Linked DNA regions of Saccharomyces cerevisiae S288C. The protein of the gene in region 2 binds, or shares a complex with, the protein of the main gene of each other region. Each region holds a gene or a part of one and is shown on either strand. Other genes may lie near its edges. A codon is read from its position in the direction of its gene.

Region 1 (3,702 bases), on a different chromosome or scaffold from region 2:
GCAAGAAAAGTTTTTGAAGAGGCGATAGTTTTTTTCAAGGAGAAGGATGATAAACAAGGGAGACTGTCTATTTTGGAAGCGCTAAAAGACTATGAAGAAACTTACGGTACTGAACTCGATCAAGAAACCGTCAAGAAAAGATTCCCTAAAGTAATCAAAAAAGTGAGGTTACAGAACGGTGTGGAAGAAGAATTCGTGGATTACATTTTTCCTGATGATATCGATGATGACAAGCCAAAACCATCAAAGTTCTTGGAACTAGCCAAAAAATGGAAACAGGAACAGGCACTTTGAATAAAGGTAAGGGTATCGTGAAATAATATTTTTGTCATTGTAGTTCAGGCCGTAGAAACTAAACAGTAGTAGAATAAGCTAGTAAGTAAATTAAATATCAAAAGTTAATAATAACCAGGAAGGCAAAAAACCAACAAAAAAAGGAACTATGCAAAATAGAGACTACATACCTTCAACACAAATAAAAAAAAATGCAGATATTGTATAATGGGAGTGTATTATAATCCGGGAGGCCCTTGCAGTCCCGGAGGTGTAGGTTTGTTAATGTCATTGCCCATGTTATTAGAAAACCCTGGAGGACCGCTTAGGCCAGGAGGAGGTGCAATTGAGGATTGTACCGTAGTCATACCGGGAGGTGGAGGTAGCGAAAATTTCGGTTGTTCCGACTCTGGAGGGCTTTGTAATGGGGGAGGGGCGATTCCTGGAACTCCGGAACTAAAGCTACTTGATGTTAGGCCGGGAGGGGGTGTAGGCGTCACGTTTTGAGCTTGCCTCGAAATATGTGACGCAGGAGGTGAAGGTGATGGTGCATAACGTGAAGAAGCCGGAAATTTTAAAGGAGGTTCCGTCGAGTTATTGTCATAACGAGATCTTTTTGGTGCTTGAATTGGATGAGTATTGCTATTATAGTGTACGTCATTGCTCTGTATTGGCGCAGAATTATTTACCGTGGCGTTTCTGTCAAAACGGCTCATTCTTTGAGACGATGAGTTACAGTCTCTACTGAAATGTCCAGTTTGTCCACATATTTTGCAAACAATGCCCTGTATATTTGGGATTTTTCTGTTTGGACAATCGTACCTTTTATGATCTTTTAAACCACAGATTGGACAGGGCCTGTTATCTTCTCTTAAAGTACCATTAAGTTCCGCCAATTCTCTCAGTTGTCCTCGTTTCAAGTCATTCTGGCCTTCCGGAGATGTCACCGCTTTGATAACAATGTTTTGACAAACTTTTATACCTTTTTGGATCTTGTCTTCCGAGTCTGCGATAATTAAACAGTGCAAGGGGTCCTCAAAGTTCATGGCGCCTGGAGGTAAGTCACTTGCATTCTTACCTTCTTTGACTGAACCTCTTCCTCTAATTGCAATCTTACAATTCGAATCTTCTTGCAGCTTTCTTAACGTACGTCCACGAGGACCTAATAATAAACCAACAAAATTGACATCAGGATACTGATCCACCGGGATATAATACTTGTCCTGAAATTTGGTAGGTCTCTTGTAATCATCCGGAGGAACGAAGTAAGGGATGGTCTTTAGGGCTATCTCAACAAGTTTAATACGTTCATCCTCTAGTTTCTTTCTATACCTCTGCTCACGGGTATTCGTTCTTTTACCTTGGGCATCATAAACTGGTGGCGGAGAAGGTGACCTATTTTTCCTGGAGGGGGGCACAAAATCGTTCGTACGCAGTTTGATGGTAATTTCTTGAATCCTAAACATGACTTGATAGGAGTATATTTGTTCCCTAGTTAGGGCCCCACTAATTTTTGATGGAAGAGAATTGAATCGATGGACATCGCTTTCTACCGTGTTCTTTCTCCATAACGAAAGGTTGACGTTTGGAGGAACCTTTGCTTTTTTTTCTTCCATACTGCTTCCTTTTCTATTTTCAAAGTATCTAGAGTTAATCCTTCTAAAACTCATCAACAATTTCCTTTTATTGTGGGATAGAATAGCACTTGTAGCAAATTAGGGAAAAAATTCTGCTTTGAAAATTTCCGCTTGGTGAAATTCAGCAGAAAAAGAAAGAAATCAATAATGCTAATATCGTTAAAAGTGAGTTAGAATGTTATATACAGATAATAGCGGTGCGAGATACACAGCAATTTATGTCACATACTGTTTTGTGGGCAGTCCACGAACGTAAATTGAACCTTTTATTTGTGCTGTATACAAGAAGGCTAGATTTTTGCTAACATATCCGTAACCAATTTTTTGACAGTATCAAAAAGTTCGGAAGGCGTACCATCGATAATAGTTTCTGCATCATTGATTTTGCGGACTGCTACTTTTTCATTTATGACAAGTGTACCTTCCCCTTTAAATTCTGCAATGTAGTTTTTCTCTGTGAGAAGTTTCTTTAATTGTGCTAACCTAACGTCACCGATTGACAACGCACCTGTTTTATGGCTCCTAGATGAACCGTGTAATGGTTTCAAGACTAGTTTACTCCTTGACGCTGTTTTTTGATGATTGTTCACTTGCGGTAGGCTCTCCTTAACCAGCCTGCCAACGACAGTGGCAACTGTATAACTATCACTGATACGTTGCCATTTCAAAAGGTTATCGAGGTTGGAGTCAATGGAGATATCCAGGGTCTTTATTGTTGTACTGAATTCCACTATCTTATTTAATGGCATGTTGACCACTTCAATATTTTTCTTGATAAGTTTTGCCGTAATTTCTTCATTTTGAATCTGTTTGGGGGCGGAAAGAACTATTTTTCTAGATTTTAGCGATGGCCATATAATAGATGCAGACCTTTGATCAACTAAACTCTGTAAATTTAGGATTACTACGGAGCATTTCAATTGGACATTTACAGTTGAGATTGTTCTTTTGGAGAGCGTTTTGTCTATCTTTAAATAGTCAAGGTTATCAAAATTTTCTGCTTCTCCGGTTCCAGAAAATCCCGAGTAACGAGAAGCACGGTGTTTGCTCCTTTTGCTAATTGGATCACTCATATTATAACCATCTTCTTCTTCATTTTTGTTATCTTCTTCGTTTACAGGGCTCGTGGTTTTAGCACCGTCTTTGAGAGGTCTTTTCCTGCTATTTTGATTAACATTGTCAGAATCATCAGGTAAAAACATCGTAAAATCTACAACAGTACCATAATCATCTTTCTTGATTTTAGCGGGGTTAAATGGGAACATTTTATGTTTTGAAGCGGCACTTGGTTGAATTATAATGTCTACAGGAACTTCCGTATTTTTTTTCGCTGCTGATTTCTCAGAGTTATCCTTGAGTAAATTCAACAAATTGTCGTTTTCTTCCTCTTCATCATCATCTTCGTCACCCCCCATAATATGATCAATCGGTGGTACTCCATTGACGTTTTCCACTAAAATGTCTTGATTTCTCATTGCCCTCTCTCCGTTGGTATCATCTATGATTGCGTTGCCGTTAGCCAGTTTCTTAGACTCTCTTTTCACCAGTAGAATTTTCTTATTTCTGTCCCTTTTCTTTTCTTTAAGCTGTACTTTAAACGCCTCTGTTTCCTCTTTACTCAAGGGTTCTTCTTTTATGGTGTCTATTGAAATGTAATTATCGCAGAGGAATGATTTACCATCTTCAGGAAATGTTTTCCAATTTCTTTCATCTTGTTCAACAATTTCTAGTATCTTGTCTAAAGACGACGCACATTCAAAGCTCGGCTTGGTCAAAATCAAGGTTGTCTTCT
Region 2 (4,563 bases):
CATGATCTGTATTTCCAAATAAAGGAAATGAGTGAAAATGAAAAAATTCACGAGAAGGTGTTGAAGGCCGCTTTATTGAACAGAGGAGCAGAATCTGTTAGACGATCATTAAAGTTAAAAGAGTTGGCTCCTCAGATAAACCTTCTATATAAAAATGGCTCTATTGGGGAGGATTACTGGAAGAGATTTGAAACTGAAGTTAAATTAATTGAATTGGAATTTAAAGATACTTTACAAGAAGCTGAAAGATTGCAACCGGGCTGGGTTCAATTGTTCGTTATGGTTTGTAAAGAAATTTGCTTTAATCAAGCTCTCTCTAGACGTTATCAATCAATCTTGAAACGGAAAGAAGTGTGTATTAAAGAGTGGGAGCTGAAAATAAATAATGATGGAAGATTAGTCAATTAGTGCCTACTGTGTGCAAAGATATGTATTCGCTCGTTCAGTGTTTTTTTAAAAATATGTATAGAATTTGTCATTATCTGCGTTAAAAAATAGTTATAAAGTATATACAATAACAATAAATGATAAAGAAATATGCAGTGAAAAGAAAAAATTATGAAGCTTTTCCTTTCAGTGTTTTCTACCCTTCTTCTTGCTCACTACTTGGAATTCCCAGCCGTCGTCATCATTGCCTGATAGAGCTAGCGCTTCATTCCAACTTAGTGGATCATCACCTTGTTTTTCGCACGCAACACGTCTTTTAATAAATTCAGTGGCAAATCTTCTACCATCCATAACGTCACTATTGGCATAAATTGTTTCTTGAATCAATTCTTTAGATTCTGGCCCCGTAGGTAAACTCAATAATAGTTCTAAGACATTGTTATTGGTTATTCCAGAATTTAATTTCATCTGTGATTTACACCATTTGATAAATTCTTGCCGGGGAGAAACATTGTTCATGCTAGCAAAGGTAGTGGTAGTAGAAGTTGTGCTAGTTTTTGCCGTTAATGAAGAATTTAAACTGGTATTGGTTTTTGAATATGGGGAGACAACGGTTCCTATAGGTGCTTTCCCTTTAGAAGTCACCGTAGTCCAAGAAGATGTGGTAGTAGATGCAGAGGATGTGGACTTTACTTGTTTGGAAGAACTCTGAACCTTTTCCCATAGTTTTTTCTGCTCTTCTATGAAATTTGGATCTTCCAACTCCTTTAACGGAGACGACTCTTTCATCCCTTTTGGGCTTTTTTGAAACTGAGATTTAATATCAATAGTTTGATTCGATGGTAGGCTGGACTTGTTAGCCCAGTTAAGCACGGATTTTAGTTCCTCCTTTTGCTTTTCTTCTTTGCTGTTCCTCTGTTGTAGACCTAAGGGTTCTCCTTTCTTCTTTCCAGTGCTACTTACACCATTTTTAATTGAAGTTTCGATTGCATTGTTAACTTTGACTTTTGAGGCCCATGGTGCCGGATTCGCGCTTGAGGAATTTAATGAAGGCAAATCTTTTGATGTCTTAAAGCCTTCTGTTTGTGTTTGTGTGTCCTTTTTTGTCTTTTCTGATTTTTTTTGCTTTTCTGCTTCCAAAGCTTCTTTTTCCTTTTGTTCCTTTTGTTCCTTTTGTTTCTTCAATAAATCATCCTCTTTTTGCTTTTGTTTCTTCGATAAGCGAGCTTCTTCCTTCCTTTTGAGTTCTCTGTTCCGTTTCTCTTGTTCATCCAATAACGCTTTTGCTACAGATTCGGATTTTTCCTTCTTCCCTTTTTCCAGCATAGTGGTCGATTTGTATTCTTGCTTGTGAGATTCATCTGTTTGACTAATGGTGGTTGCTGAGGCTAATTTAATATCGACTCCCTTGGAGGTGGTACCTCCATCCATATCCCAGATATTGTCATGTGTCAATGGCTTGAAAATATCGTTTTCAGTAGCTTTAATAGTGCCAGTAGCGGCAACACCGCTTGCGTAAGGAGCTAGATTCAAGTTGATAGAATCAGAGCTGGTTGTTTGAACGTGAAGTTTGTCAAAAGTAGTGAATGGATCCGTATCATACTTCTCGAGTTTAGTCATTAACTCACCAAGTGTGATGAAAATATCGTTTATTCCTAGCGTTTCTGGAGTGCTTCCCAATCTTGAAATCTGAAGGGTTGAAGCAAAATAGCCACCTATGTACCATTGTGACATCATTTGGGTAGTAAATGGACCATGAATCTGTCCCTGCGTGTCTATGTACCTCCAACTGGATTCAACTGAAACTGGTGCTGGGAGTTGTGACATTCCGTTCATGCTCATATTAGGAGGAATATCAGAGGACGGAAACAAATTGACATGAGATTGGGCAGCAGTTGGTGTACTTAATGGAGTAATATCTACCGCCAATGAATGTGTACTCAGATTCACTCCAAGATTAGCAGCATAACTAAAGGAGGAGGAGGACTCGTTTCTTTGCAATAGTGGATGCTGCTGAACAGGCGTACTAACCCGTGATTCAGGATGGTCGCCGTGCCAAAAAGAGGAACTCATTACTCCCGAACTTTGAGGAATAAAAGGCTCTTTCATAGAAGAAAATGGTGACGCAGCACGCTGTATACCAATAGAATCGATTAAGGAAGACGTCCTACTGAGTGGATGTCGACCTCCTAAAAGAGGTGTATTGGATCTAAACGTCGATCCAGGGACTGTATTCACGCTTGCAGCAACAGCACCGTTTGTATTGTTATTAACGCTCGCAGGGGAGGAATCCAGGATAGTAGAAACACCGTGTGTGTTATTGTTTTCTGTATCGACTGAATCTAGTTTTAAGTCCTTAAACTGTTCATCAAAGGAACCGAATAATCTTTGCGAGTCTGGTGCTATCATTATTGATGTGGGCTGAGAAGTTGAGTATATAGGGGAGGAGGAAGGAAGGTAAAAGCTCAAGGAGTACGAATGGAAATGATGAACTCGAAGAGACCACTGAACTGCGTGTGTGGGTATTTGTAGTATTGTGAAAAGTTCCAAAAGGCCCATCAAATCAAATCAACCTATAAGTGGAAATATGAAAAATTTTTTTTTTTTTCAGTGCGACTGAAAAAAAGGCATAGGGTAATTGCGGACTATATAGGACACTAAAAATATAGTGTGGCACAACTATGTAGTATAAGTATTACGGCACTAATCTAATCTTTTCAATGGTTTACGTGACAGATGTATAAAGAAATTGAGAGCAATTTTTAAATGCCTAATTGTTTTTCGATTTTGCTGTGGACGTCATCACCTACCATGGTGCTGGCTTGTAGGCCAGTACCAGGGTAGACGTCCTCCCAATCGATGCTGCACTCTTTGTTCAGTAGTATGTCACGGTGTATACTACCGTTTGTTGAAAGGGGGTTGAAGTCGGTACGATTGACGATTTCCATTTCCATCGTCCTTTTCATTGGTTCGGCAATGCCAAATATTTGTCGATACTGTTCCATTTGTCTTTGGCGCTGTGTGGTTTCCCAGTTCTTCAATGTTGATTCTAATGGATGTCTGTCATTCAATTGTGTGGAAAGAGGTACTGCACCGCCTTCTTGCTGGCGTAATGTGTCTGGCAAGGAGGGCACTGCAGATGAAAGAACACTTTTGTCTTGATCTGTAGAGACTTGAGATTTAAAGGTATCTTGTGGGACGATATTCATAGTTGGTATGCAGGCTGTTTCTGGTCTTGTCTATTTAATACTCATTCCCTCTCCAGTGAGCAGGAAACTACATAATATACTTTAATAACCTCAGGTAGGATAAAATTGCCACTGCATGGTTACCCGAGGAGTGAAAAAAGCAAGACCATAAGAAATGCTTGTGCATCACTGGCGGTAGATATTGGAAAGTTTGAGCGTAGGCTCATTCATTTGCAAGTGGCCATTATATGCTAACATGTTCCAGTTTGTTACTCCTGTGGGAACACAGAATGGATTGAAAGCTACTTGTGCGAAAATATCTCCTGATGGGCAGTTTCTTGCTATAACACAAGGACTTAACATCCTGATATACGACATTAACAGACGAACTGTATCACAAACACTAGTCACATCACATGCCAGGCCTTTCTCAGAGTTATGCTGGTCTCCAGATGGACAGTGCATAGCTACTGCATCGGATGATTTTTCTGTGGAAATCATTCATTTATCTTATGGGCTGCTGCACACTTTTATCGGCCATACAGCGCCAGTGATATCTCTGACATTCAATAGAAAGGGGAACTTGCTGTTTACATCCTCAATGGACGAAAGTATCAAAATATGGGACACACTGAACGGGTCTTTGATGAAAACAATATCTGCACACTCAGAAGCAGTTGTGTCGGTGGACGTACCCATGAATGATTCATCCATTCTGAGTTCAGGTTCATATGACGGGCTCATACGGATCTTTGATGCAGAGACGGGCCATTGTTTGAAGACATTGACCTATGACAAGGATTGGAAAAGAGAAAATGGTGTGGTACCCATCTCCCAAGTTAAGTTTTCTGAGAATGCAAGATATCTCCTGGTGAAATCGCTGGACGGTGTAGTGAAAATATGGGATTGCATCGGGGGTTGTGTAGTTCGTACTTTCCAGGTTCAGCCTCTTGAAAAGGGCGTACTGCATCATTCCTGCGGTATGGAC

What was found.
Region 1: the proteins of SMY2 (region 2) and MSL5 are in contact, whole or in part, in a crystal structure (PDB 3FMA), measured with the Saccharomyces cerevisiae proteins. Residues at the interface, in NP_009731.4 of Saccharomyces cerevisiae: Tyr210 (codon at 2,169), Asp212 (codon at 2,163), His218 (codon at 2,145), Phe221 (codon at 2,136), Trp229 (codon at 2,112), Tyr234 (codon at 2,097), Phe235 (codon at 2,094), Leu239 (codon at 2,082); in NP_013217.1 of Saccharomyces cerevisiae: Ala443 (codon at 617), Pro444 (codon at 614), Pro445 (codon at 611), Pro446 (codon at 608), Gly447 (codon at 605), Leu448 (codon at 602).

What each region holds. Positions count from the first base shown.
Region 1 is NC_001144.5:379,063-382,764, reverse strand, and holds MSL5 (mRNA splicing protein MSL5), read right to left. Parts: upstream 1,944-3,702; coding exon 513-1,943; downstream 1-512. Other genes in the region: CLF1 (Clf1p), read left to right, coding at 1-294; cleavage polyadenylation factor subunit CFT2, read right to left, coding at 2,201-3,702.
Region 2 is NC_001134.8:578,577-583,139, forward strand, and holds SMY2 (Smy2p), read right to left. Parts: upstream 2,797-4,563; coding exon 574-2,796; downstream 1-573. Other genes in the region: Sec63 complex subunit SEC66, read left to right, coding at 1-408; UMP1 (Ump1p), read right to left, coding at 3,150-3,596; SWD3 (Swd3p), read left to right, coding at 3,832-4,563. UniProt on the Saccharomyces cerevisiae protein: Suppressor of the MYO2 gene.